7 linked regions of the Sus scrofa genome follow. The protein of the gene in region 2 purifies or fractionates together with the protein of the main gene of each other region. This does not show direct contact. Links are inferred from orthologs where the notes say so. Each region holds a gene or a part of one and is shown on either strand. Other genes may lie near its edges.

Region 1 (3,500 bases), on a different chromosome or scaffold from region 2:
AAAACCTAGCATTTCCCTCTCTTTTTGGCGTGACTGATGTTCCTGAGAGCATCAGTCCAGACACTCATGTGTACCATTGGTGGAACGTGAAGACAGCATTAAAAGCAAGGCTATTTTTAAAACTTTGCAAAAACTTAAAGCACACACAGTTAACAAATTGCTGCTGTACATAAAGCACGGAGACTACACTGAGCACAGCTGGCAAGAAAGGAGAGCAAAGCACAAGGATCTAAACGGGATGTGAGACGGACAGAGAACATGACTGCACTACGTACCTTGGTGAAGGTGGTGGACCCAGAGGCCATCAGAATTTGACGCACACGGTTGTGGAAGCGCTGCATTGACTCATCATCCACACGCAGGAAACACTGAGCTGTCCGCTCCTTAGTAACCTAAACCACAAGGTCAAGGTTAACTATCTCTGGAACTGCCACAGGAAGAAGAAATTTTTTGTTTTGTCTTTTTGGGGTACACCCATGGCATATGGAAGTTCCTAGGCTAGGGGTCGAAACAGAGCTGCAGCTTCTGGCCTACACCACAGCCACAGCAACGCCAGACTGAAGCCTCATCTGCAACCTACACCACAGCTCAACACTGGATCCTTAAGTCACTGATCAAGGCCAGGAATCAAATCCGCATCCTCAGAGAGACCACGTCAGGTCTCTAACCGGCAGAGTCACAGTGGGAACGCCAAGAACCAATGCTGACCATCACTAAGCCCTTACTCCCCCAACCAGGCTCATCCGACTGACACTGGAAAGGTATTTGGGAGTTCCCACTGTGGTGCAACAGGACCAGCGGCATCTCTGCAGTGCCAGGACACAGATTCAATCTCCAGCCCAGTACGGTAGGTTAAAGGATCCAGTGTTGCCACAGCAGCGCTACAGATCACAACTATGGATAAGAGCTGATCCCTGGCCTGGGAACTCCATGTGTGATGGGGCAGCCAAAAATGAAAAAAAAAAAAGGAAAAAGTGTGTGCAGTTCCTCACTCCCACCTACCGGGAGGTGGTAATGCTCCTCCCGGCTCCCCCGCCCCCTGGCCCAGGCCCTACCTCATTCTGTAGGTTCCAGACCCCGTCCTTGTGGGTGAACTCCTCATAGCTGGTGCGGCATTTTGGCAGGATGCGGCACTCAAAACCGCACATGTTGAACAGCAGGTTGGGGTTGTCCTTACTGTACACCGACACGAAGCTGTTCTCCCACTGAACTGTAGTCACTGAGCGTGGCAGACGGTTCTTGATGTCCCAGAACACTGCCCGACCCCTGCCCACAGAGAACATGGGTCACACCAGTCCCCTGGAAGGCACTTCCCTGCAAAGGCCAGACTGACGACAGCCCAACAGAGTACATCCTCCTACCCAGAAGACCACCTCCTAAAGTCCCTCTAATTGTCCTCCGGGTCCCTCAGGCTGACATCCTTCTCGCTCCCAGAGCCCCAACTTAGACTCACAAGTTAACATCATGCTTCATGAGGCGCATGCGGGCATCTCGGGGCCAGCACTTCTTGTTATTGTAGCCGACGATGTTCTCATTGTTGGGGTCAGGATGCTCCGTCAGGTAACGCTGGATTAGGTCCCGAGCCTCATCTGCCGTGAACCTGCACCAGACAATGCGCCCTGCTGAGGCCCAAGCACACTGGGATCTCATGCGACCTACAGTTCCCTAGAGGGAGGCCACCCCGCCCCTTCCCACTCAGAAGACTTCCTTCCATTTTAGAGCCCCAACCCAGCAGCAAGCCAACTAAGGCAGGACAGCCACTTCCAGAGGCTGGGCACATGCCTCAGTGCCCTGCAAGGATAAGAAACCAGGCAAGCCCTCACCTGAAAAAAATATGGATACGATCGATGTATCTGCAGAAGAGACGGATGGGGTGGGCAGCCTCAGTAGCTATGTCTTGGAAACTGAGAAAGTCGTTTGGCATCTGAGGGGGCCCAGCCATCTCACTGGCCCGGTGCAAGCCCAACACAAGCAAATCCATCACCAGGCCATAGTACTGCACGATGAACGAGGCAAACTGCAGGCCTCTGATGATCCCATACGAATTTGTATGGTTCATGTCCTAGAAAGAAAGAGGACACTCAACCACGGCAGCGTGCCAGGCTTCTCCGGGGCCCAGCCTCTTCCTTTCCCACCTCAGCAAATCCCAGCTCGGCAGGCTGGACACCCCCACCCCGACCCCGGAACACACCTTGTAGTTGATGACGACGTTGTTCTTGGCAGTCATGTAGTCAGCGATGTTGTGGTCTACGATGAGGCGCAGCAGCCTGTTCAGCAGGGTCAGGTCGATCTTCTCATACATCTTCTCAAATCGTGACTCCAGCATGACGTTGCACTCGCCCTCGCTTGTCTCCCACACGTCCTGCAGGTTATTGATGCCTGAGGAGGGGGCAAGACAGGGCTCCAGCAGGTTAGAAATTCCCTTTCAGGGAGTTCCCGTTGTGGCAAAACAGAAACAAATCCAACTAGTAACCGTGAGGCTGTGGATTCGATCCCTGGCCCTGTTCAGTGGGTTAAGGAACTGGCGTTGCTGTTAGCTGTGGTGTACATCACAGACGTGGTTCTGATCCTGCGTTGCTGTGGTGTAGGCTGGCAGCTGTAGCTCCGATTCGACCCCTAGCCTGGGAACTTCCATATGCCGCAAGTGCAGCCCTTTAAAAAAAAAAAAAGAAAGAAAGAAATTCCCTTTCAGGACCAGTGCCTACGGTAATCCGATCGCATGCCACTCCATTCATTCGCTGGCTTGCCAGGAGAGTCAGCTTTGCTCAGTTTAGCATCAATACCATTTCCTTGCTACTATGCAGCAAGAAAGTAAGCTAATTCTGCTGCCTGGATAGCAGAACTCAATGCGCCTCCCGTTCTCAGGTGCGATCCCAGAAAAGTTTTACCTTGGCACCACTTGTAAACAAGCAGAGGCGGCGGTTCTGTGTCAGCAGGCTTGATCCAGGGCGGGAAAAGGCGGCGCTTGTCAGCTTCGTACCAGAGGTACTGGTCCAGGTAGGCATCAGTGATTTTCTCCAGGGGCTCCACATCATACACTGGCACCAGGTGGCTATAGAGATCCATGAACTCAATGCCTACCTGCGAGACACAGAAGCTGGCTCACACCAACCCACCAACCACCTGAGACAACCTGCCACACTGGGTGCCAGGGATGAATCACGCAGCCAGAACAAAATGTCGAGGGCATCTCACTCACTTCTTTGAAGGCTCTCTGTGTGAGAAGGTGACGCTTGATGCGGGACAACGCCTCATGGGGGTTGTCATAAGCTTGCTCGATCAGACCCAGCTCTTCCCTCTGAGACTGGTTTAACCGGGACTTCACACTGACAAGGCAAAAGAAAAGGTGAATGGGAAAATCAAGAGGAAGCCAACCCCAGAAAGGACTGATGCTAAGCCTTCTTTCTTTGGACTCTTGATGATGCTGTCATTCTTCCCTGTCACCTCCCCATAGGAACCTGTCTACCCCTCACCTGTAAGCTTCCTTGAGCCGCTCCAAG
Region 2 (4,058 bases):
GCCCGAGCTGGACCCCACGCCCGACTGGAGACTCGACACTCGGCGCGGTCAGAGCGCGGTCGGTGGGGCAGGCGGGCAAAGGGCCTGTGCACTTCAGGGTCTTCCTCGCGTTTCCTGTCACCTCCGAGGCTCAGGTTTCGCGTCTGTAAAAAGGCCACCTTCACCTTCGTGCAGGGCAATGGGAGGCGCGACAGGCTCCGTGTGGAAAAGGTTTGGCTGCGGCAGGCAGAGGCCTGCTCGGCGGCCACGCACGCTCATCAGGTGCAGGGACCCCGGGAACCTCCAGGCTCTGCAGTGGCCCTCGAAGCCAGCACGGGGGCAACTGCGGGCTCCTGCACGGAGGACCAGCTCAGCAGGCTGGTGGGGCCCGCCTGGCTCCGGGCAGGGGAGAGGGCGGCCCTGCCTGTCCTGGGGTCTCTGGAAATGGTCCTTTGCCAGCTTGGAGTGGCCAGGGGTTTCACAGGGAGCTGGGGACCTGACCACGGAGACCGTGCTCCACCTGGACACTAGCCCCTCTCAAGCGATCCCTGAGTGTGGCACTCACTTGGGCCACCTGGGCTGGTGGCCTTGGCAAGGTCCGGTTCCTGGGAGAAAGAGGCCCTCAGTCTTGGCCAGAAGGGTCTGACTCCCATTATGTCCCAGGGGGCGTGGTGGTAGCACTCCCAAGGCCACACTCCCGGTCACCAAGTCCCCTCCCGCGGGAGCCCTTGCCTATTCAGCCGTGGCGCCGCACGGGGCGCATCTGACGGGACAAGGCTTTGGAAGGGCGGGCAAACCAACACGTGCCTCTGGAGCAGCGACCCGCTGGCCGGCCCCAGCTCCCAGGGCTGGCACCCGCCCGTGGTCATGCATCACGCAGACCACAGAGTCGACCACTGCACCTCCTCCTCCCCCTCATTCCCTGGGCCACAGGCAGAGGTTTTCTCCTGGTGGAACAATGAGCAAAGTTCCAGCACAAAGGGGAAGGGCCAAGGGCACAGGCGTCAGACCTGTCCGGGGCCTCCGACAGCAGGACTCCAGGCTGCGAGTCGGCAAAGGGCTCCAAGCGGACTTTGAGACAGAGGCCCGGGGGTCCTGTGGGCACCCTGCCGGCCCCAGGCAGGGGCTGGTCTCCTTTCTCAGGGCCAGCCCCACTGCGTCCTGCACCAAGCACACCCTACTCGCTCTGTGTACAGACTAAGGAGGATCAAAAGCTCTTGCTCCATGGCCGCTTGTCCCCAGGGAGACCATGCCTGGGGGCGCAGCCACCTTGAGTAGAGACCATCACGGGCTGGACCATGTCCGCTTTCCTGCTCCAGGCTTTGCCTGGAATACAGGCCGTGAGGCCTGGGGAGCAAGCTGACGCTGGCTGTGCTTCGCCTGGCCTGGAGCAGACTGAGAGGCGGGATGTCCCCACAGTAGGTTCATCCCAAAGGACCTCTGGTGCCCTCCCCCAAACGGGAGTTACGGGGAAGGGACAAGAAGAGGGAGAAGGGAAAAAGACAGAAAAATGGGGTCATTTCATTTGGCCGGCAAAGTTCAAGGCCTGGAACAAGGGGTGGTTCCCACCGTTAAAGAAACAGGGCCTGGGATGGAGAACGCCACATGGATATTTGCTGGGACAACACACAGTGTCCCCAAGGGAATGCAGCACGGTTTCTGGTCTCCTCAAAGGGACAAGTGGAACGAGAGAACGTGGCCTCCAGCTCTGGGCTCCTTTCAGCCCAGACTGCTCTTCCTTTCCAAGGGCTCAGCAGGATGACAGGCAACAACTCAGTGGGGTCCAAGAAATCCAGCGTTTGGGCGCTCAGGAGAGTAAGCACGTTTGGAGGCGCCCGGAGCCTGCCTACGACTACGGTGGCCTAGGCCACCCCCCTGCCAGCCGCGAGCCGTGGCTCCGACCTGCCCCACCTCGACGTCACAGCCAGGACGTCCATCTCCAAGTCCAACCTCCGCAAACTGGAGTTGTCCAGCCTGCGGAGTCAGACCATGTAAATCACCTGCCCGCTGCCAGGCAACGGGAGACAGGGCGTGAATAAAGTCGCGCACAGAGCAAGAAACACGAGTCGCTCTTGGGAAAGCAGCTCTGGGATCTGGACCCGGGCTCGAGACCAGCCTGAACTTTATGACGTTGTGCTTTCTGTTTTCGCTCCCTCTCCTTTCGAACTAGAGAAACGCCCTCCAGTTCCAGGGCCGAGACTTGATTTACCCTGAATAACTGCCCACCACACCACTGGAACTCTGGGGCCACCGGGGCCCAGCGTCCACTAGCGAAGCCGGGGGCTGTTCTAAGCACAGACGCGTCCCGCAGTCGTCCCACAGGCAGCAAGCGCAAGCCCACGGAGGCAGAAGCCCTTCCTACCCAACGCGGGAGAGCGGCGTGGACAGGAGCGACCTCCAGCGGGCCTGCGACGCTTCTCCCCGCACTACCCCCTGCTCCCCACCCCCACACCGGGCCTGCGAGGCGGGGTCCGGGCCTGCCCGTCCTGGGCCCCCGCGCCGCGGCCTCCCCGCCCCGGGCCGGCGCCCTCGGCCCCTCACCGGGCTCCAGCAGATAAGCGCGTCCGTGTCCGGGTCGCTCACGAGAGTCCAGAGCTTGGTCAGGAAGGCCGGGACGTTGCTGGGCCCCGCCGCGCCCGGGCCCACGGGCAGATCCATACCGGGCAAGGTGGGAGAGGCGGAGGCGGGACCGCGAGGAGGGGCTGAGGGCCGGGCTAGCGCCGCTGCCGCGCCTGCCGCCCGGGCCGCGCGCCGCCGCCCGCTGCGCACACACGGCCCCGGGGCCTGGCATGGCCGCCGCCATCTTGCGACGGGCGCGCTCCCGCCGGCGCCGCCCGCGTCCCACGGCGCGCGCACGCACACCGGCCCCCGTCCCGCCCGGCGCCCTCTGACCCCGCGGGCCCGCCCCCAGGCCCACGCGGTCGCGTCGCTGCCGGAAGTGGCGGCGCAGGGCAGACCGGCGGGCGGCATGGCGGGACCTCAGGGCGCGCGGCGCGTGGCGGTGGCCGGGACGCGGCCCGGGAAGCGGATGCTGGAGCCGGGGCGGGAGCCGGAGGAGGTGACGCGGGAGCGGGAGCGGGAGCGGGGGGGGGCGGCGGGGCTGGGCCGCGGCACCGGCCGGGGAGCGATCCCGCCCAGCGCCCGGCGGGCCTGGGAATGCGAGGAGGGAGGGGTCTCCTGTCCTCCGCCCCGGCGGCCTTGCGGGGGCGTCCTGGGCAGGGAGCTGGCTGGCGGTTGTGTGGGTCGGAAGAAGGTCTGGGCCGGAGAGAATAAGGAAGGAGAGCCGGCGTCCTGCGCAGCGGTCTTCCTGGGCCTTTGAATTGTCATCTGGGCGCAGAAGATTTGAGCCTGCAGTAGCTGCTTGTATAGCCAAATGTTCCTGACACGTTAGACGTTGTAGAAGAGGAAACGAGGATGAGAAAGCAGCGCCTGCTGCACTGGACGGCCCGTTTTAGCTGGACTCATGCTCTTCCTGTCCAGCGGAACCCCAGCCGCGCTGTGGGGGTGTCATCAAATCTCATCAAATCTCGGTGGTAGAAAGCCATAGCAGGCTTGTGCAGTCGAGCCTCGCAGCTGGGACTCCACGTTGCTGGTTTATCAGGCTGCCCCTTCACTTGTGACAAGTGCTCGTGGTGCTCCCTGGCCGGCAGGCAGCTCTGGGCACCATGCTCACCCACTTGTAGTGCTTTTGCCTCTGTATTCATCAGCGGCTGTTTGTGTTTGTGCCCAAAACATTTGTGCCATTTTTACTTGCCGTTGTAATTGTGTAGCTAGTTAGGCACGATAGAGTGTGTGCTGAGTGCTGTTTGGTAGCTGCTCCGTGCAGGCTGTCCAGTTTGGCGAGAGACTCAGGAACTATTGAAAAACAATGAAATCTAGAATTTTGCCTTCCAATGAATGCTTGCTAAGAGTCTGCAGGTTCTTGTTCCACCGTGCACCCTGTCTGGTGGAGTTAGGGCCGGGGTGGTGTCTGGTGGGCAGAAGTCTGCTCAGAAGCAGCTCTGGTCCTGCGCCACACAGAGCTGGTCACCGACAGTGTGCTCCTTGCAGCCCTCTCTCCCCGGCGCCCCGGCTCCCAG
Region 3 (4,053 bases), on a different chromosome or scaffold from region 2:
CTTCCCCTACCCAATGGACGACAACCAAGAATGTCTCCACACATTGCTAAATGTGGTTAAAACCACTTTCAGGAGAGAACCACTGGTGTGGAGATACACACTTGAGAGTCATCAGAGTAAAGCCTCAATCCGACAGGAGGTCACACAGGAAGTAAGCGTAAATGAGAGTCCTGTGAGAGCTCCAGCGAAAAGAGGCTGGGGAGTGAGGACACGCTAACAGAGGATGGGGAAGAAGGGCCAAAGGGTGGGATGAAAACCCATACACCTCGGAGTTGCCGTCATGGCGCAGAGAAAATGAATCCGACTAGAAACCATGAGGTTGCGGGTTCGATCCCTGGTCTCGCTCCGTGGGTTAAGGATCCGGCATTGCCGTGAGCTGTGGTGTAGGTCGCAGACACGGCTCGGACACAGCATTGCTGTGGCTCTGGCATAGGCTGGTGGCTACAGCTCTGAGACCCCTAGCCTGGGCACCTCCATGTGCCACGGGTGTGGCCCTGAAAAGACAAAAAGACAAAAACAAAAACAAAAAAAAAGAAAAAAAAAAAAACAAAAAAACACAGTACATCTCAATGTCCTAGTAGCATAAGGAAGAAAGAGATCGTGGAGTTTCCTGGTGGCTCAGTGGGTTAAGGATCTGGTGTTGTCACTGCTGTGGCTCAGGTTCCTCCAATCCCTGGCCCAGAAACTGTCACATGCCACAGATGCAGCCAAAAAAAAACCAAAAAGAGACAGAGAGTGAGATCAAGGAGAGGGGTTAGCAATCAAATGCTGTTAGCAGGTTAAATGAGATAAGAGCTAAGAAATGGGCCACTGACTTTTTTTTTTTTTTGGCCAGACTGCATGTTAAGTGCTCATACGAAGGCTCTGTAGTCACAGTTCTGGATCAACTGGGCAAGATGTTAATCTTTCTGTGCCTGTTTCCTACCACACAGTCCTAAGGATTCATTGACATCGTGGATGTACCTGGATGAGCACAATGTCTCGTACACTGTAACTGTCAGCAACAACTAAATAATATGTATGACAAATACAGCTATTAGTCTCCAAAACAACCCTCCAAGGTAAGTATTATTGTCACCCCCCCTTCACAGATGAGAAAATGGGGGCACAGAAAGGTGTGACTTGCCCAAGGTCACACAGTCAGCCATCCACAGAGCCTTAAGTCAAACCTAAGCGTACTGTCCACAGAGCCTGTGTTCTGTTCTTTGGTTTGGTTTGGTTTTTTAATGGTGGTACTCGCAGCATATGGAAGTCCCAGGCCTGGAACTGAATCATGGCCACAGCTGTGACCTATGCCTGTGGCAACACCAGATCCTTTAACCAGCGACCTGAGCTGCTGCAGTCAGATTCTTAACCCACCTCACCACAGCAGGAACTCCCACAACCTGTGCTCTTAATGAGACTATCCTGCTGCCTCCAGGAGCACTGCCTATGTGCCTGGCACTGCATGCAGCCCTGCTTCAACTGGAACTTCGGAACTACTCAGTGAAGTACCACTGGTATTCTAACTGTCAGCATCAACTTGCAAATAAAGAACTTGGGGCTCAGAAAGATGAAGGGACATACCCAAGGTCACACAGCCATAAAATGCTGAATCCAGGTCTGTCTGCGGAACCCTTGCCTCTTCTTTTTACCACGAGGCTACTCTGCCTCCCTGCACAGTGCAGGGATCCAGGGATCAGACCTTCAGTCTACAATAACCCCATCAAGCACAAGGAGGCTACTCTGCCTTCACACCTGGCCTCCCGACCCTCTCGGGACTCCCTCCCCAAGATATCTCGGTCCGCACACCCCTCACCCCGGCTTCTTGGGTCCCCCCCCTTTACCTCCTCACTCATGGGTTCTGGAGGTGGGTCTGGCTCTTCAGAGCCCGCCGTGATGGCCATCTGCAGCAGACCTTGGAGGTTTCGCGGGGGTGGGGGGTTGCCCGAGCCCCCAGCAGAGGAGCCGCTGCCCCCTGACGAGCAACCCTGAGAGGCTGGGGGCAGCGCCAGGGGAAGGCGGCTGCCCCCAGAGCCTTGGTCCGCCATGGGCTGTTTGCGAAGAAGGGACGAATGTGCTGGGGTAGGGGATGGTCACCGCTGAGGTAGCGCGGGCTTCCTGACCGGTCGACTCCTGGAGGTCTGCTGAGAAGGTGGCGTTTTAGGGGAGCTCGGCGGCCCTCCGCGACCCCAAACCACTCTGTCCACATGCCCTTTAACCACAGCCCCCATTCCTTCCTTCACACCGGCGAGACCCTTCCCCAAAGTCACAAGCCCCTCCTTCGTCCCTAGCAACAGGCCCCACCCACTCTCTCTAGCAACCCCCTCCCCCATCTTCACCGCAGGCGTTCCCGTCTCTTAGCAACCCCACTGCCCAGCCCTCATAGCAACCAGGCCTCCCTTTGGTTTTCTTGGCAACAAGTCTCCTCCCTCTTCTCCGAAAGAGGGGAGCCAGAGCGGGGCGGACCTCACCTCCCCGGGCCTCGTGTCGCCGCCGCTACTAAAGACAGAGTCGCCCGCACCTGACTACAATGGGCGCCGCCATATTGACAGGAAATACGCAAATCTCGCCCGGAAGTTCCCGGCGCAGACACCCCACTTAGGGCCTTAACTAGGCGTGAGGAGGCCTCGCCCAGCTCCGAAGTCCTTCCTAACTGGCGGGATACTGCGCTCCGCCCAGCCCCTCACCTAGGCCGCGCCCCTCGTGCTCCCGCTCTGGCCTAAGGCCCGCCCCCGGCCCGGATCCCGCCCTTAGCGAGCCCCACCTCCCCATGCTCATTGCAAGCCCCTGCCCTAGTGTAGGCCCCGCCCCCCGGCCTGGCTCTGCCTAGGCCCAAACGCGTCCACACCCAGCCCGAGTTCTAAACTGGTCCCTCTCCGCCCGCTTCAGGCTCCGCCCCTGTTCCAGGCCTTTCGGCCTCTCCCAGGTGAGCCCCGCCCCCGTGCCGGTTTGCCGGCCGTTCCCCCGTCAAGCCCCGCCCACTTCTTGGCCCCGCCCCATTCTCGCTGAGCGTGCCCCGCATCAGCAAGGGCTTTTCTCTTCCATCTAGGACCCCACCACGTCTTTTACTGGAGCCCTGGGGTCGCACCACTAATAACCTGACCCAGGCACCCAACCCCACCCGTCTCCTGGCCTCAGTTTCCCCATTCGTCAAAGGAGGCATTCTCCACACTGCAGCACTACCTGTGCCGGTGCTTATTACCCAACATCTGCCTGGTGGAATCTTCTCTGGGTCCTGCCCAGGTGCAGAGGAGGGGATCGTTGAAGCCTGAAGTAAATGCCCACGCAAGGTGGTTTAGGCCGCTTGAGGCCTCCCTGCACCAGATTTGGGGCTCAGGTCTGGGAATGTGCCTGGCCTTTGGAGGTGTTTCCTTTGGGGTGATCTTAAGCGAATCCTAGTTGTGGTCTTCCGTAAGAGACCCTTCCCCTCGAGGAAAGGCTGTACTTATCTTGTGACCTACGGTCACAGGTATATTGAGCCCTTGGCTAGGTCTGCAACATGCCAGGTGCTCTTTTGGACAGAGATGGAAAGACCAGTGTACAAGCTGTGTGTGTGTGTTGTTTGTTGTGGTTTGTAGCACTGAGAAGCCTAGCTATCTGACGTGGGTCTAGGCCCCTGTGTACTTTATTGTATCCCTTTCCTATTGTTGCTCTTAACAAATTACCAAAAACTTGGTGGCTTACAACAACGCAGATTTATTAGCTTACAGTTCTGGAGGTCAGAAGCCCCAAATGAGTCTCACTGAGTTAAAAACCAAGGTATCAGGGGGATTGTGTTCCTCCTGGGGGCTCCAGGGACCCTCTGTTTCCTTGCTTTTTCCAGCTTTTAGAGGCTGCCCACATTCCTTGGATTGTGGTCGCAGCATTTCAGCTTGTTTCTTTCCCTGTCCCATCTCCTCCTCTGCCTCTGATCCTCCTGCCTCCCCATGATAAGAACTCTTGGGATGACATGTAGGACCCACCCAAGGAACCAGGATGCTCTCCCATCTAAGACTTTCAACTCAGTCACACCTGCCACGTCCCTTTTGCTATGAATATGTAAGGCAACATATTTGCATGTTCTAGAAATTA
Region 4 (4,206 bases), on a different chromosome or scaffold from region 2:
CCCTTGCGCCTCTCGTAGCTAGCCATACTGTCAGCCCAGGAAAAGATCAAAGCTGAAAAGTAGTTTCTCCTGAGTTCCCATCATGGTGCAGTGGAAAAGAATCTGACTAAGAACCATGAGGTTGCAGACTCAATCCCTGGCCTCGCTCAATGGATCTGGGGTGGCTGTGGCAAAGGCCAATGTGTGTAGCTCTGATTAGACCCCCTAGCCTGGGAACCTCCACATGCTGTGGGGTGCAGCCTTAAAAAAAAAATTTCTACTGCATGTGTGCTTTCATGCTACCATAGTAAAGTCAAAAAATTGTTGTGAGTGGAAGGCCATCTATATATCCTTTAGGAAGGGGACTGAGTGTTGTACAGATGGCAGCTCAAAACTACCGCTTGTCACATAGTTAGCAGTAACCATGTCCCCCATGTACCATGTGACTGTACTCAAGACTAGGGAGTGAGAAGCCAGGGAAACTCCAAAAGCAGTGTTGTATATACTTACGAGAGCGCAGAACTGTATAAAACTGCATCTTCTTTATTTTGCATACTTTAATCTCAGAACAAAATAAACGAGCACAGTACACGACACCCAAACCCAGTGTCAAATGTGGGAAGGGTTATTAGGGCTTGCGGCCCCTGTAGCCTGCCTTAGACAGAAAAACAAATAAAACCACTAGACATCAGCAGAGGAGACCAGGTGGGCTAGGGCCACTGGGGGCTGCTGCCAGGGGAGCCAATGGGGACACTATACAGAGGGAACAAAGTTTGCAGGTAGCAACTCCTAATCTACTTCTTCCATGCGAGATGCATCCTCATCACCCTCGAGCGGGGGGATCTCATCAGGAACAGCAGCACTGGGCTCCTCTGCTGTCACTTCGTCCTCATCAATGCCTAGAAAGAGGGAAGAAAGAATGCCACTTGAGATCTGGCCCCAAAAGCATCAAATCTGTGTCCACCAGGCTAATTCTCCAACTCCTCGCCACACCTACTGCGCAAGGGTACTTACCCAGGCCAAGCTTGATCATGCGGTAGATGCGGTTGGAATGGGTCTGGGGATCTTCCAGCGAGAAGCCAGAAGACAGCAGTGCCGTTTCAAACAGCAGCACCACTAGGTCCTTGACAGCCTTGTCATTCTTGTCCGCCTCTGCCTTCTGTCGCAGCGTCTCCACAATGGGGTGGTCAGGGTTGATCTCCAGGTGCTTTTTGGCCATCATGTAGCCCATGGTCGAGTTGTCCCGAAGTGCCTGAGCTTTCATGATGCGCTCCATGTTGGCTGTCCAGCCATAGGTGCTGGTCACAATGCAACAGGGTGAAGACACAAGCCTGTTGGAGATGGTCACCTGTGGACAACCACAAAAATCTTTGGTTTACCTTAAATCAAAACTACCTCAAGGCAAAAAACGGTATTTTGAAGTTCTATCCTTGGGAAAATAAAGCCTCATCTTTGCCAAGTCTTAGAGCAATGACAAACTTTCCCAGTAAAAGAACACAAAAAACAAAAATAAAAGTTCCCATTGTGGACCAGCGGGAACAAACTCGACTGGTGTCCATGAGGATTTGGGTTCAAACCCTGGCCTTGCTCAGTGGGTGAAAGGATCTGGTGTTGCTGTGAGCTGCGGTGTAGGTCGCAGACATGGCTTGGATCCAAAGTTGCTGTGGCATAGGCCAGCAGCTGTAGCTCTTATTTGACCCCTAGCCTGGGAACTTTTGTATGCTGTGGGCGGGGCCTGAAGAGAGGGAAAAAAAAAATCTGCCCAGTTAAGAGAATAAAATAGGATGGCTCTAAACAAATAAGGCTGCGCCAAACCACTAATCGTGTAGCAACCAGAAACTGAGGGCAAAGCCCTGAAAGCACTTACTACTCCGTTCACTGCTTACCTTCTCTACTTTCTTATCCAAGATCTCTTTCATGAGTTTGCAGAGGTTCTCAAACTTGGCCTTGCTCTCCTCCATCTTTTTCTTCTCCTCCTCATCCTCAGGCAGCTCCAGGCCCTCCTTGGTAACTGAGACCAGGCTCTTCCCATCAAACTCCTTGAGCTGTTGCACACAGTACTCGTCGATGGGCTCTGTCATGTACACCACCTCGAAACCCCGCTTCCGCACACGCTCCACAAACGCAGAGTTGGCAACCTGCTCCTTGCTCTCACCTATAGGATTATTAAATGTGACTCAAGGATCAGAATGCCCCAGCCAGCCAGCTCCCAGGTATCCCTGTGTCCTCCCCTTCTCCTAACACCTGAGAGGCTTTGTGGTCAGGCCCTACGTTCCACTCACCAGTGATATAGTAGATGGACTTCTGGGTCTCCTTCATGCGTGAGACGTACTCTGAGAGAGAAGTCATCTCATCGCCAGACTGGGAGGTATGGTAGCGCAGCAGCTCAGAAAGGCGCCGCCGATTAGTGGAGTCCTCATGGATTCCAAGCTTTAAGGGTGGAAAGGGAAAGTCTTACTAGAAAATAATTATCCCCTACATGAATGAAAAACAGCCATCTTCATCATTAAAAAAGCAAGCATTTGCTGTCTGCTTACCTTTAGATTTTTTGAGAAAGCCTCGTAGAATTTCTTGTAGTTCTCCTTGTCTTCTGCCAGCTCAGAGAAGAGCTCCAGGCACTTCTTAACAATGTTTTTACGAATGACCTTCAAAATCTTGCTCTGCTGGAGCATTTCTCGGGAGATGTTCAGGGGAAGGTCTTCAGAGTCAACCACACCGCGGATGAAGTCTGAAATCAAACATGGATGCTCAGTTAGACACCCCCCCTACAAAAACAAAAAAGTATACACCGCCATCCAGCTGCACCAGTTACACGGCAGAGGACCCTTAGCTTCAGAACAAAGGCTTCATCAGAGTTCCCCATCATGGCGCAGTGGAAATGAATCTGACTAGGAACCATGAGGTTGCAGGTTCAATCGCTGGCCTCGCTCAGTTGGTTAAGGATCTGGCGTTACTGTAAGCTGTGGTGTAGGTCGCAGACTCAGCTCGGACCCTGCGTTACTATGGCTGTGGTGTGGGCTAGCAGTTATAGCTCTGATTTGACCCCTAGCCTGGGAACCTCTCCATATCCTGCAGGTGTGGCCCAGAAGAAAAAAAAAAAAAAAAAAAAAAAAAAAAATCAAGGCTTCAGTTCCTTTGAGAAAGCTGAGACCAACTACATTAGGCAGAGAAGGTACTCACTGAGGTACTCTGGTATCAGCTCATCGCAGCTGTCCATGATGAACACACGGCGAACGTAAAGTTTGATGTTGTTCTTTTTCTTTTTGTTCTCAAAGAGGTCAAAAGGAGCCCGACGGGGGATGAACAGCAATGCTCTGAATTCCAACTGACCTTCTACAGAGAAGTGCTGTGAGAGAAATCCAAGATAAGCCAACTGTGTATTTTAAGAGTGGCTTTTGTCCCAACACCAAATTAAACTATTTGGGGAGTTCCCGTCGTGGCGCAGCGGAAATGAATTTGATGAGGAAACCCTAAGGTCGCATGTTCAATCCCTGGCCTTGCTCAGTGGGTCGAGGACCGAGGGTTGCCATGAGCTGTGGTATAGGTCACAGATGTGGCTTGGATCTAGGGTTGCTGTGGTGTAGGCTGGCAGCTGTAGCTCTGATTAGACTCCTAGGCTGGGAACCTCCATATGCCGTGGGTGCGGCCCTTAAAAAACAAAAAAATTAAGTTATTTAAAAAAAAAAAAAACTATTTGGAAAAAAAGACCTTCCCCCTTAAGCACCAGGAATAGACTAGACTCTATGGTAGCTGTTGAGAAGCCCTAATAATGCCCTAAATGAATCCAACATAGTGCAACCTGTACATAATCCTTGTGTTAACGAGGAAATAGCCAATTCAGAATGCTAGATGGGCAAAGCTGCCAGAGACACAGTGAAGTCCCTGGAGATGTCATTCCCCTGCCCTGGAAGGGTCCATCAGTAGGTGAACTCATGGCATTCCCAGTTCCCAATCAGTTGGGCAAGTGCCACTTGCCCATTACCAACTCTTCCTATTGCGCCAACAAACAAGGCTTCTTACCTTGACTGCCAGGTGATCTTCCCAGTCATTGGTCAGGCTTTTGTAGAACTCTCCATATTCCTCCTGGGTGATGTCATCAGGGTTCCTGGTCCAGATGGGCTTGGTCTTGTTCAGTTCTTCCTGATCAATATACTTCTCCTTGATCTTTTTTGTCTTCTTTTTCTTATCTTTGCCACTATCATCCTCCTCATCTGAGCCCACATCTTC
Region 5 (3,500 bases), on a different chromosome or scaffold from region 2:
CCTGTTTCTCCATTATGACTTGTTCAGGGCTAGCCTCCCTTGGTAAATAAATATTGGCTCCATCAGAGGAGGGGGCTGTGCCTTGTGCACCATAAACTCCCCAGATGCACCAGGAAAGCTTTGCCAAATGACCGTCTCCAGAGTGCATCTCCAGCTGTGCTGTGCCCTGGAGCTCCAGCCCCTATACCCAGGCACCTCCCCATCTGGACGGCTTAAAGATGGCCTGTCCAGATGGTGGTACACCCACCCACTTTCCCCTCCTGTCTCTGTTCCCATGCACCTACCATCCTGTAGCTGAGTGGACCGTGGCCCCCGTGGCCCCTTGACCCTTGCTTGCCCTTCCTCATCCCTGATGTCCGCTTGGTGAACCCTTTCAGCTTCCTTACCCCCAGCGCCTTTCACCTTGCTGTCTGGTCTATGCCTCCTCCCTGCTCTCATCCTTACCTGTGTACTGTTTCCCATACAGGTTTTTTGAAGTCTCTTTTTACAGTTAGCAACCCTGGAGGGTGCTATGAAGGGTCTCCCCACTTCACACCTAAGGACACTGAGGCTCAGGGGCTAAGTAGATTCCCAGGGCTGGGATGGAGACACTGGCTGCCTGATTCCAGAGCCTGGCTCCCACTGCTGAAATGGCAGAAGCCTGCTGCGCCCTGTCAGGTTTCCTGTTTGCCGTGGCTCCCGAGACCTCTGCAGCTGCTGTCCTGTGTGTAGTCTGTGTTGTGTGGCCTCCTTTTCTTAGCCATGTCCTGTCTTGTGACCAGTAGCAGCCTCCTTCAAGGGTTGGATTCTTCTGAGGTTCTGGCTTTAAAGAAAAGGAAGAGGTGTGTTCCTTATAAACAAGTGAGACCTCCCATCACCTGCTCTTCTTTCTATCTTTGCACTCTAGGCTGCAGGCTCGCATCGCACACCGAATTCAGGAACTTGAAAACCTTCCCGGGTCCCTGGCCGGGGATTTGCGAACCAAAGCGACCATTGAGCTCAAGGCCCTCAGGCTCCTGAACTTCCAGAGGCAGGTGGGCGCAGGCGCAGCTGATGCTTTAGGAAAAGAGCCCTTTCTGTCAATGTTACTGCTTCAGGTCTTTAAATGCACCCTGACCATTAAAAGCCTCAGTGCTCACCCACATTCATTAGGTCACTGTCCCCCCCCTTCCTCTGCACATCCTGCCCAGTGGAGGAACTGCTCAGTGAAGGCACAGGCTGAATAGACGTGGGTCTTCCTTAAGGCGGCAGTGACCAGCTTGAAGCAGGGAACTTAGATGGGTCTATTGCTGAGGGTCCTTTCCTTTTGAACAACCAATAAGAAATTTTGTTTGATTGTGGTTGAGGGAGGGTAGAACTGGAGACCTGAGGTGTGAGAGTGTTCTCTGCCGGGTGTCCAGAAGCAGCCATCTCCCAACCCGAGGGCCTCACCATGTGTCCTCCCCGTGCACACATTTGTGCTCATGGGTCCTTCTGGGAGCGGGAGCCTTCTGCCCAGCTTGCCATGTGGAATTGTGCATGTCATTCAGATGTCGCGGAGTTGTACCCGTTACCAGTTTCTCCTCTTCCTTCCTGAAGCTGCGGCAGGAGGTGGTAGTGTGCATGCGGAGGGACACAGCCCTCGAGACGGCCCTCAATGCCAAGGCCTACAAGCGTAGCAAGCGGCAGTCCCTGCGCGAGGCCCGCATCACCGAGAAGCTGGAGAAGCAGCAAAAGATTGAGCAGGAGCGAAAGCGCCGGCAGAAGCACCAGGTAGGTCCCTGCAGCTGCGCGTTAGCCTGCCCACATGTCCAGGGTGTCAGCTTGTAAGCTGCTGAGCCTTGGTTTATCTGTCAACACACTGTCTGTGTCTCTTTTCCGTTTGTTATGTCAGTATTCTGAGCATTAAAAATACATCAGGGGACAAAGCCAAATAGTAGAATCAGATGCGTGTATAACATGTTGGAAGTTAATAGGGTGTAAGGAAGCATGAAGTGAGGCTAGAGCGTGATGGAGGATGGTCCGTCTGGGAGGTCCTCCCTGAGCAGGTGAGCTCTGAGGCCCAAGGGAGGGAGCCACCAGATGTGTGTGTTTCCAGATAGAGGGGAAGGTGCAAAGGCCCTGGGGCTGGTTGTGTCCCACTGCTCTGTGAAAAGCAAGGATCCAGTGTAGTCAGTGGAGTGAGCAAGGAGGCGAGCAGGAGGTGGGGAGAAGGGGGAGGTGATGGGCAGAGCATGCAAGGCTTCCATGGGGCGAGGGGATGACTTGGGCTTTCACTCTGAATGAGATGAGAGCCCTGGAGGGTCCTAAGCAGAGGGAGTGATCTGGCAGAGGTTGTTACAACATCAGTAAAGGAAACCAGAATCTCTCCTCAAATAGGATTTGGGTTGATTTTGTTGATATATGTTTTATGAAGTTTTCTCCTATCAGTATCTATTACTGATACGGTTTATGATAACAAAAAAGTCAGTGCTCAGTGTTAGCCTCTGTTAACATTTTGGTATATATCATTCCAATCTTCTTTTTTCTTACATATAGTAATCACAAGTTAAGCAGCCACTTTTTAAAACAACATACACATGTTGACCTGTTTAGAGTATTGTTGAAGCATGATTTTAGTGTCTACATTGTAGTCCTTCTCAGTATGTCCAGCATCCAGTAATTTATGAAACCATTTCCTACTGGGGGACATGCAGTATATTTTCAGCTTTTCAATATTAAAAATAACATTGGGATAGACTTTCTTATACTTGAATTTGGGGGCCAGTCTCTGCTCTTTTCCTTGAAATAAATCCCTAGCAGTGGAGTGATTTGGCTGGCAGGCAGTTGTGTTTGGAAGCACTTGGCAGACAGTGCCAGGTGGTCCCAGCCCAGTGGAAGCCCTGTGGACTACCCCATCTACTGTGCACGAGGGAAGGCCCTTCACGCCACAGGCCGGCATGGAGTTTTATCCCGACGCAGAGAATGCTGGACTTCATGGGCATAGGGTCGATGTGTTGTTTAGATTGTGCCCTCTGGGTTTTCACCAAGCTACCTTTGATGTTCGATGCAGCGACTCCTGTCCTGTAGTCAGTCTGCTCTATTGTGTGCTTCCTACAGGAATACCTCAACAGCATTCTTCAGCATGCCAAGGATTTCAAAGAATATCACAGATCAGTCACAGGCAAAATCCAGAAACTCACAAAGGCGGTGGCCACTTACCACGCCAACACAGAGCGGGAACAGAAGAAGGAAAACGAAAGAATCGAGAAGGAGAGAATGCGGAGGCTCATGGTACAATTGGCCTTTGTGACCCGGGTTCCTTTGTGTGTGTGTCTCTCTCTCACAAGCATGGGGATTGACTGCCCAGGATTTCGCTGGGGTATTTTGCTGCTCAGAGTTAGAAGTGGGACAGAGGAAGAGAGGGCTTGGGTTTGGGAGTCCGAAGGACCTGTCACCAGACCTTTGCCGGGCCACTCCAGCCGTCAGTGACCACAGGTTTGCTGGATGCTCTGTGCTCTCTGGAAATTGGAGGTGGCAGCCCCTTCTGATGGAAGAGCCAC
Region 6 (4,295 bases), on a different chromosome or scaffold from region 2:
CCTTCATTGCTCCCTCTAGTGGTGATTCTAATGAAACTCAATTTTTACCCCCCCAAAACCTGGTTAAAGACAGTTCTTTCCCCATATACCAAGTCTCCACTAGAGAAAAAAAGCTTTAAGTATTCAACATATACACCAACATATCTTTAAGATTCTCTCTTCTGACCAAGACAGAATGATTTAATAGTGTCTGTCTGTTCCTAAAAGTACTAACAGAGAAAGAATCTGGACTATTACTGAGCTATTAAAAAGTAGAAACAAGACTGCAATCATTCCACTTTTCAAAAACCATAAAGATATTTAAATGAACACTGTATCCAGTAGTTGCGTAGCACTACCATTTATTTTACACTTCACGATGTTTAACTTAGGCTTCTAGCAAACAACACAGCATAACACCTCGAATTTTCATTGGGAAAAGAAACAGAGCCTAGGCTTGAAATCTCAAACAAGCAAGCAAATACTTTGCATTAAAAGCTCTGTATTATGGATTATCAGTTAAGATTGGGTCATTATACTGTTTTCAGTTGGTTAAATTAAAAAACTATAAATACTCAGAAACGAAGTTACAATGTCCAGAATGTATAATGAAAAAGAAACAGTCAAAAGTACTTTCTGACACAGCAAGGTATTTTATTCCTAGCAAATCGTACTACACCCTCAACCCACATTTCTAAAGAGGTTCCTCTCTCCATCCATGCATGATACTAATAAACATTCGGTTTTTTTCCTGTAGAATTAACCTTTCAGGATTCTGAAAAATTTATAAAGAAATTATCAAACTAGCTCTTGAGACACTTTAAGAACCGTCTGTTATAATGGTTACTTGGCATATTGATATTCGGATTCTTTATTTATTCCAAGTATTTTCAATAAATGCTCCTTAAACCCAAATAAATCTAATTAAAAACACATCTACAAATTTTTTACATATCACTAACAAAAGGGAAAAACTCATTACTTACCTCATTTCCAAACTTACCCGCTGTCCACTATTGATTACAAACAAAGTTATTTTATAAGCGTGCTTAGGGTCAAAGAAAATACCCAGGTAGACCCCCTTCGCTTCAGACCTTAAGCTTATCAATGTTATCAACCATGATTGCAAACATAAATGAGAAAAGCAAGTGACAAAGTTCAAATACATAGTAGCCCAGCCTAAAACAGTTCGGTATACAGCAATACACGTACTGAAGGGCTGAGCCACGTTTTAAGCAGAGCACAACTAAAATCATTTTTATTGCACTTTCATCTTAATTTCTAGCTTACCACGTAAAAAATTTCCCAGTAAAAATCTTACTTAAAAGCCGAGTAATTTCTACAATTCCTCATAAGGGAAGCCTTCAGGAAATTAAAAGGATTCGGAACCTTCGGCACACCGCCCCCCCCCAACCCCCGAAGACCACCTTCCCCACGACCTCCCGCATAACCTACAGGACCCTGATGGCTCCGAATTTCGGTTTTTCATTTCTAAAGCTTCCTGCCATGTAACCGCCTTCCTAATCGCCGCAAACCCAGCTAAAACCGCTACGCAAAGGAACAAGGGCTGAAAAACAGAACGTTTTCTTTGTACTACGTATGGCTCGCCTCAAACCCGGGCCCGACACCCTAGATCGTTTTACCTCCGAAGCCGAGCGACCGCCGCCCCTCCCCCCGCCCTGCGGTGCGGCGCCTGAACGCAATGGCGCCATTTCATCGAGGGGAAGGCAGCGAGCCTCTAATGAGGTGCGCAGGACTTTAAAGATCCAGGCTCCCAAACCCTCAGAATCCACCTCGAAACGGCATGAAAACGGCCCGAAAAGGAGAAAAAACCGGCGAACCACCTCTACTCTTTGATAAAAGACTCAAACTAGCTGAATTTAGAGAGTTACAAGGAAAACGCTGCGAGAAAGAGGAGAAACGAAAATGGCGGCCGCCAAATCCGGTTCCCGCGAGGGGGGGAGGGGAAGCCGCAGCCTCGCCCGCGAGGACCCGCAGCCCGCCGAAACGCTCCAACGCGCGGACGCCAGGGTCCCCAAACCAGCGTGCTGTAAAAAGGGAGTAAGAATTCCCGCCTCCGCGCCCCACTTCCACCGAAGTCGGCTTGCGTCCGCCATGTGGAAGTTCCCCATCCCCCACCCCCAGCAAAGGGAAATGGCGCCGGGAGCCTGAGGGTGGGGAAGGTGCGGAACGATCAGGCCTCCGCTAACGACCCCCCTTCAAAAGTACCCCGAGACCAACCGCTTCTGAAGTGGCCCAATTTCGCTGCCGCTCTCCCACGGAGGCGGGTGGCCGACTTCCAATAAGGCGCCAACGGCCTCGCCATGCCCTTTCCAACAACTCATTGATTTCAAACCCGTTACCTCCATCGCGGACTCAGTCGCTTCAGCCCGATTTCCCGCAGCCGAGCGAGATGAGAGAGATCTCCGCGGACGAACACGAACCGGACTCGTCCTGGCGCTGTAGTGAGAACTGCCGCTGCTCGAGAAACAACACCGCTAAGAGCACCTCCACTCGGGACCCGGCGCTGCTGCTACTGCCGCTAGAGCCGCTGCCGCCGCTTTTCTAGAACCTTCCCCCCGACTAACGCGTCCTGCCCTACGTCAGGCCGTTGCGTAAACGCCCTAACCGCCGCCAATGGCGGGAACGCTCTACGACCTCCTTGCGCCAAGTACGTGCCCCTCCCTCCTCGCAGCCAACAGTGGTGCTTGACGTCACTTGCGTAAAAGGGCTCTGTGAATTGCGGAAGGCTCGAGCCCTGCGTATTTCTCTCTCGGAATTAAGTCCAGTCCCCGCCCCCCGCCCAGCTTTAGCGCAGGGCAGGTGAGAAACGGTCGCGCAGTTTGAAATTAACACTGTGGGGAGGAGCTTAATCCTCAGCTTTCAGGTCCAGCCCCTCAACCCGGAAGGTGGTCCTTAGAGCAACGCTTTGATAATCCCAATACCCACCGCCCCCCGTCTCTAAAAAAAAAAATCTTTGTAGCCTTCTCTACAGCGCTTTCCCTCCTCCTCCCTGAATTGAGGACAGACTCGGCCTCTTCCGGAAACACCCGAAGCGACTTGTGGTCAACAAGTTACATTTCACGCCTCACCTACCTAACCTTGGACAACGCTTTTGGGGTCAACCTCTCGGGTTCAGGAGGTCTTTGGACAGGGTAATCTAACTCTTAGTTCCTAATTGAGTCCTCCCACCCAAGTTTTACACCCACCACCAGCATTTGGAGGCACCCAACCCCAGGGACTAGGAAGTGGGCGGAGTCCTGTTTTGGCGCCAGTGCAGCTGCTGCAAAGCAGGAACGCCTCCGCCGAGGAGACTCCGGTCACAGTCCCCGCTCCTCCCTCTCTTTCCCTCCCCTTTGGGGACCACCAGCCGCTACGCCCCGAACGGTGAGTGCCGGTGTCACCACCCCCTCCTTCCCCCACCCACCCTTCGGCTCGGGCTCGGGCTCGGGCTCCCGGCGGGCAAAGCGCGGCGCGCGGCCCCTCCCCCCCGCGGGGCGCGCGCTCACCCCCGCCCCTAGCGGCCGCCTGGCGTGGGCGGTGCCACCCCGCACCCCCCCCACCCCCAGCGGCGCGGCCCCGCGCGCAGCTCCCCAGCCCCCTCCCCCTCGGATGTGGCTGGAGCTAGAGGCGCGCAGGGCCGAGGACGCCGCAGACCTGGGACCCGGAGCAGCTCTGAGGCGGTGAAGTCGGTGTCTTTATTTTCCCCTACCTTTCACTCCGTGGTCTTGCTTCAGATACCACTTGCGCCCCAGAGACCCTCCCCCCAGTTCCCCGCTTCCCATCCTTCCCGGCCCGACCCCGAGTCGGAGCTGGCGGGAAGGAAACAGGCGAATGGAGACCCCGCGGTGGGCCTGGTGCTGGGCCGGTGTCTCTAGTTGGTCGAGGGGACGAGACTGCTCGTTATGAGGTTGAGAACTGTGGCGACAGCTGCCTTATTTGTAGACAAAGCGCGTTTCTTCCTCCCCTCCCCCATCCCGGAGCTACATGAGGGGTCCTCCTCCCTCTCCCGGACTCGGTCGGCGACTCGGGCCTCCAGGGAGGGCTGTGCATTCTCCCGCATCCGTGCGGCCCGAAGTCCGGAGGCAGCGGCGGGCGCTCCGTTACGAGGCCGCCTTCGGGTCGGGGAGGCGCGGGCCCCGTGGCGCAGTGCCCTTGAGCCCCCGCGCCGCGGCCTTTGTTTCTCCCCGCGGATGCGCTGACCATGCGGCCCGCGCTCGCGTGTGGGGGGCGGGGGCCGGGCTCGAAGGCCTTATTAAGCCGGGTGGGGCTGGGGCTTAAGGGCAGCGGCTGAACGTCCGGAAAGAGGTGATTTG
Region 7 (3,999 bases), on a different chromosome or scaffold from region 2:
CTAATGATTATAATTTTGCTCCAAGGAACACTTGGCCAAGGGCCGAGGGGGGTGGACTGTGCAGAAGAGAGCTACTAAAGCAGGCCTGAGACTGCTCTCCTTAGAAAGACTTGCTCCGTGGTTGGCCCTTGGCTGGCATTTCAGTTCTTGGATTTCAGGAAGGTTCTCACCATTTCCTTAATGATAAAGAGTCGCTCACTGGGCCTACACTGTGCAAACAATGTGGTTTATGCTGTATACCTGCGTTCCCTCCAGGAATCTGGAATTTGGGTGTATGCTAGCAGAGGGCGCCCCCAGAAAAGCCCTAGGAGCTGAGTCTCTAATAAGCTTTCCTGGTAGATGACAGTTCATGCATGTCATCACACTCATTGCTGGAGGAATCAAGTGTGTCCTGTGTGACTCCACTGGGAGAAGACTGTGGGAAGGTGGGGCCTGGTTGCCTCTGGATTTTGTCCCATGCGCTTCTTCCCTTTTGATTTCGCTTCGTAGCCTTTCGCTGCAATAAACCTTAGCCGTCTGTGAGTAGGACTCTATGCTGAGCCCTGGGAATCTCTTAGTGAATCATCAAACTGGGGGTGGTCTTGGGGAGCCCCAACACAGAGCAAAGAGAGACTTCTGGCGTGTTGGTAGTATTCTCTTTCTCAGTCTGGGTGCTGTTTACATGGGGTGTGTTCAGTTTGTGAAAATTCACTGAGCTGTACAGTTAAGATATGTATACTTTTCTGGCAGAGGGAGTCAACTTTATAAAAAGATAAAATGGATATTACACATCACAGGGGTTAAAAAAGAATAACTTAATTAAAAAAACTTATTTAGTAAACATTTTATTTTTTTAAAAGTTTTTTATGATAGTTGATTTACCGTGTTCTGTCAATTTCTGCTGTACAGTGACCCAGTTATACATATGCATATTCTTTTTTTCATATTATTTTCTATCATGTTCTATGACAAGGGATTGTATAGAGTTCCCTGTGCTATACAGCAGGACCTCATTGCTTATCCATTCTAAATGTAATAGTTTATTTAGCAAACTTTTTTTTTTTTTTGCTTTTTTGCTTTTTAGGGCTGCACCTGTGGTACATGGAAGTTCCCAGGCTAGGGGTCAAATGGGAACTGCAGCCACTGGCCTACGCCATAGCCACGTGGGATCTGAGCCAGATGTGCAACCTACACCACAGTTCACAGCAATCTTTAACTCACTGAGAGAGGCCAGAGATCCAATCTGGGTCCTCATGGATGCTAGTCAGGTTCATAACCCACCGAGCCACAATGGAAGCTCCCTATTCAGCAAACATTTTAATCACTCCTTTTTATTAGGCACTATGCTGGGAGCTTGGGACATGGGGTAGGAATGATGTCATCATGCCACTTTGTTTATTGGGAGTCAGGTAAAGAGATACTTGTAATTCGGTTGATTTTTGCTGAGTTCTAGCACAGACATCATAGGATGTCTAACTATTACCAAAGACTACTAACCTGGGTAATCGGCTATTGCAGGGTTTCCGCTCAAACATCTACAGAAGCCAGACAGGCAAATGGGCAAAGGGGTAGCTGGGAACTGTGGCAAACTGGAAAGGTATGTAGGCATAGAGTTGCCACAGCAAGTAGTTTTCCTTAAGAAAAAGCCACAAAACTGATTTTTTTATGTGCGCTCTCTGTATTTTTGAACCTGTAAATGGATCCAAAAATTTAACAGCGGGAGACCAAACAAAACACCTCTGCAGACCAAATTTGGCCTTGGTCTACCAGTTTGCCAGGCATTCCGCCAACCAGCCACACAGTCCCTCTTACCAAACAATTGAAGGTCCACTATTTTAGGCGCTGGGAGACAGCAGTGAGCCAGCCAGCCGACTTTCTTGCAGAATAGCGGGGTGGGGGCTCTGGTTCTGTGCTTCTCAAACTTCCCTAAGTGTAGGACTCACTGGGAGGCCTGCGGTGAGGCCTGAAGCTTTGCCTTTCTAACAAGCTCCCAGGTGGTGATAATGCTGGTGGTTCCTGCACCATACTTTGAGTAGCCTTGAGCTGTAACCCAGAGGCTCGGGAGCAGCTGTTATTTGAAGGAGGGAAGTAGGGGGTTTGTCTTGAAGGTCACATTTGCCTGGCAAGCATCCTCTTTTTACTTAGATTTTAGTTTACTGCAGGGACTTGGAAGAGAGTTGATGACGTCGAAGGCGGGTGTTAAGGCTCTCCCAGCTACCTCTCGGCGCTGCCGGGTCTCCGTTCTCAGTTTATAAGCTCGAAGGCGGGGCAGGGGTGAAGGAAGGTGGTGGGAAAAACTTCCTGGGGGAGGTGCACGTGGACTGCCCGACCTTCCCCAGCCGCCGAGAAAGGGAGAAACCCCGAACTCCCCCTCTCCTGGGACTGGGTCTCAGCATCCCCACGCCGGGTCTGGTTTCCCAGGCATCCCACGTGTCCGCGAGTCCCTGTCAATCAAGCTTCTCCTCCCCGGGCTGGGCACGGGTTTAAAGGAGGCTGCTGCGCAGAGAGCTCCCATAGTGCCGCGCGGCGGGCGGGTTTGGATTTTAAATCCCCGCGGCCAATCAGTAGCGCGTAGGCTTTTGTAACGTTCCCGGCGCCGCGTTTGAATTCGAGGAGGGGCAGAGCGGTGCCAAGCCTCGGCCCAGACCCTGCTAGGTCCGCTGAGCAACTCCGGGGACATGAGTGCGGCGGCAACTACAGGGAAGCTGGCGCGGGCACCGGCTGACCCAGGAAAAGCCGGGGGCCCCGGAGTTGCAGCTCCCGGGGCCCCGGCGGCCGCTCCGCCGGCGAAAGAGATCCCGGAGGTCCTAGTGGACCCGCGCAGCCGGCGGCGCTATCTCCGCGGGCGCTTTCTGGGGAAGGGCGGCTTTGCCAAGTGCTTCGAGATCTCGGACGCGGACACGAAGGAGGTGTTCGCCGGCAAGATCGTGCCGAAGTCGCTGCTGCTCAAGCCGCACCAGAAGGAGAAGATGTCCATGGAGATATCCATTCACCGCAGCCTTGCCCACCAGCACGTCGTCGGCTTCCACGGCTTTTTCGAGGACAACGACTTCGTGTTCGTGGTGCTGGAGCTCTGCCGCCGGAGAGTGAGTGTCGCTGCTGGGAAACTGGAGCTGCCTGCAGGCTGGGGTTGGGGCGTCCGGACCCAGCTGCTGGGGAGGGGACCCCCCGGGACTCGGAGCTGCTGGAGAGGAGGTGCTGGGTGGGAATCTCGAGCTGGAAGTGGAGAAGGTCTCGAGTAGAGAGGGGGCTTGGCACTTGGGGCTGCTAGGGGAGGGGGGTTCGGGTTTAGTGGAGCCCGGGTCGCGTTGCCTCTAGGGAAGGCGGCTCAAGGACGCTAGGAGTTGGGCGGAGTTGGGGAGGCGCGGGTCGCGGGAGAGCCCTGCTAATGGTCTTCCGGAGTTGCTAGGTACGGGGTGCTCTGGACCTTCCGGAGTGGGGTTGGGTCAGGCACAGGGTAGTTGGAGCCAGACTTGGGGGCTTCCGGGGAGGAGAGGGGTCAGAAAAGGGATCTCTTGCTGCGGAAGAGGCCTGGCGAGGGGGTGGCGGGGGGGGGGGGGGGGCATACGGGGTACTCTTGAACTTCCTGAAGGGTTGAGAGAGGAGTCCCAGGTAAGGGAGCTGGTGGGAGAGAGGGCGCTCTGAACCGTTGTGGCCTGGCTTAGGGGAGAGTGGAGAGCATAGCTGTCCTGGAGAAGGACTGCTGGGTAGGGTCCTAGGCAGCTTTCACCTAATGATACTGCTTCCCTGCCTTGGGCCTGAGTACCCACTGCCCGTTCCTCCTTCCTCCCCTCGCCAAGTCTCTCCTGGAGCTGCACAAGCGGAGGAAAGCACTCACCGAGCCCGAGGCCCGCTACTATCTGCGGCAGATCGTCCTCGGCTGCCAGTACCTGCACCGAAACCGTGTTATTCACAGAGACCTCAAGCTGGGCAACCTCTTCCTGAACGAGGATCTGGAGGTGAAAATAGGTGAGGAGCTGGGCCTGCAAGGGCGTTTGACATTGCAGGAAGTGGGAATGA

Evidence for each region.
Region 1: the proteins of HSF1 (region 2) and PRPF8 purify together in Homo sapiens (affinity purification with mass spectrometry; 3 studies listed by BioGRID). This does not show direct contact. The link is inferred for Sus scrofa from reciprocal best matches to the Homo sapiens genes HSF1 and PRPF8.
Region 3: the proteins of HSF1 (region 2) and HSPBP1 purify together in Homo sapiens (affinity purification with mass spectrometry; 5 studies listed by BioGRID and IntAct, counting the BioPlex papers as one, with this or other methods). This does not show direct contact. The link is inferred for Sus scrofa from reciprocal best matches to the Homo sapiens genes HSF1 and HSPBP1.
Region 4: the proteins of HSF1 (region 2) and HSP90AB1 purify together in Homo sapiens (affinity purification with western blotting; 3 studies listed by BioGRID, with this or other methods). This does not show direct contact. The link is inferred for Sus scrofa from reciprocal best matches to the Homo sapiens genes HSF1 and HSP90AB1.
Region 5: the proteins of HSF1 (region 2) and SMARCA4 purify together in Homo sapiens (affinity purification with western blotting; 3 studies listed by BioGRID). This does not show direct contact. The link is inferred for Sus scrofa from reciprocal best matches to the Homo sapiens genes HSF1 and SMARCA4.
Region 6: the proteins of HSF1 (region 2) and HNRNPA2B1 purify together in Homo sapiens (affinity purification with mass spectrometry; 3 studies listed by BioGRID, with this or other methods). This does not show direct contact. The link is inferred for Sus scrofa from reciprocal best matches to the Homo sapiens genes HSF1 and HNRNPA2B1.
Region 7: the proteins of HSF1 (region 2) and PLK1 purify together in Homo sapiens (affinity purification with western blotting; 3 studies listed by BioGRID and IntAct, with this or other methods). This does not show direct contact. The link is inferred for Sus scrofa from reciprocal best matches to the Homo sapiens genes HSF1 and PLK1.

The regions. Positions count from the first base shown.
Region 1 is NC_010454.4:47,881,787-47,885,286, forward strand, and holds part of PRPF8 (pre-mRNA-processing-splicing factor 8), read right to left. Parts: coding exon 3,474-3,500; intron 3,327-3,473; coding exon 3,200-3,326; intron 3,082-3,199; coding exon 2,889-3,081; intron 2,380-2,888; coding exon 2,192-2,379; intron 2,063-2,191; coding exon 1,824-2,062; intron 1,601-1,823; coding exon 1,454-1,600; intron 1,267-1,453; coding exon 1,056-1,266; intron 393-1,055; coding exon 276-392; intron 270-275; exon of another isoform or gene 1-269. UniProt on the Homo sapiens protein: Plays a role in pre-mRNA splicing as core component of precatalytic, catalytic and postcatalytic spliceosomal complexes, both of the predominant U2-type spliceosome and the minor U12-type spliceosome.
Region 2 is NC_010446.5:483,666-487,723, forward strand, and holds the start of HSF1 (heat shock factor protein 1), read right to left. Parts: upstream 2,801-4,058; 5' UTR 2,783-2,800; coding exon of another isoform or gene 2,638-2,782; coding exon 2,521-2,637; intron 1-2,520. Other genes in the region: ribosome biogenesis protein BOP1, read left to right, coding at 2,948-3,037, 4,030-4,058. UniProt on the Homo sapiens protein: Functions as a stress-inducible and DNA-binding transcription factor that plays a central role in the transcriptional activation of the heat shock response (HSR), leading to the expression of a large class of molecular chaperones, heat shock proteins (HSPs), that protect cells from cellular insult damage.
Region 3 is NC_010448.4:59,461,734-59,465,786, forward strand, and holds the start of HSPBP1 (hsp70-binding protein 1), read right to left. Parts: upstream 2,801-4,053; 5' UTR 2,454-2,800; intron 2,127-2,453; exon of another isoform or gene 2,124-2,126; 5' UTR 2,031-2,123; coding exon 1,827-2,030; intron 1-1,826. UniProt on the Homo sapiens protein: Inhibits HSPA1A chaperone activity by changing the conformation of the ATP-binding domain of HSPA1A and interfering with ATP binding. Interferes with ubiquitination mediated by STUB1 and inhibits chaperone-assisted degradation of immature CFTR.
Region 4 is NC_010449.5:39,246,774-39,250,979, reverse strand, and holds the end of HSP90AB1 (heat shock protein HSP 90-beta), read right to left. Parts: coding exon 4,000-4,206; intron 3,326-3,999; coding exon 3,160-3,325; intron 2,708-3,159; coding exon 2,517-2,707; intron 2,410-2,516; coding exon 2,262-2,409; intron 2,135-2,261; coding exon 1,866-2,134; intron 1,328-1,865; coding exon 994-1,327; intron 879-993; coding exon 769-878; 3' UTR 501-768; downstream 1-500. UniProt on the Homo sapiens protein: Molecular chaperone that promotes the maturation, structural maintenance and proper regulation of specific target proteins involved for instance in cell cycle control and signal transduction. Undergoes a functional cycle linked to its ATPase activity.
Region 5 is NC_010444.4:69,737,707-69,741,206, forward strand, and holds part of SMARCA4 (transcription activator BRG1), read left to right. Parts: intron 1-886; coding exon 887-1,013; intron 1,014-1,557; coding exon 1,558-1,731; intron 1,732-3,057; coding exon 3,058-3,231; intron 3,232-3,500. UniProt on the Homo sapiens protein: ATPase involved in transcriptional activation and repression of select genes by chromatin remodeling (alteration of DNA-nucleosome topology).
Region 6 is NC_010460.4:46,203,669-46,207,963, reverse strand, and holds the start of HNRNPA2B1 (heterogeneous nuclear ribonucleoproteins A2/B1), read right to left. Parts: upstream 2,801-4,295; 5' UTR 2,349-2,800; coding exon 2,343-2,348; intron 1-2,342. UniProt on the Homo sapiens protein: Heterogeneous nuclear ribonucleoprotein (hnRNP) that associates with nascent pre-mRNAs, packaging them into hnRNP particles.
Region 7 is NC_010445.4:22,548,096-22,552,094, reverse strand, and holds the start of PLK1 (serine/threonine-protein kinase PLK1), read left to right. Parts: upstream 1-1,199; 5' UTR 1,200-2,657; coding exon 2,658-3,065; intron 3,066-3,779; coding exon 3,780-3,948; intron 3,949-3,999. UniProt on the Homo sapiens protein: Serine/threonine-protein kinase that performs several important functions throughout M phase of the cell cycle, including the regulation of centrosome maturation and spindle assembly, the removal of cohesins from chromosome arms, the inactivation of anaphase-promoting complex/cyclosome (APC/C) inhibitors, and the regulation of mitotic exit and cytokinesis.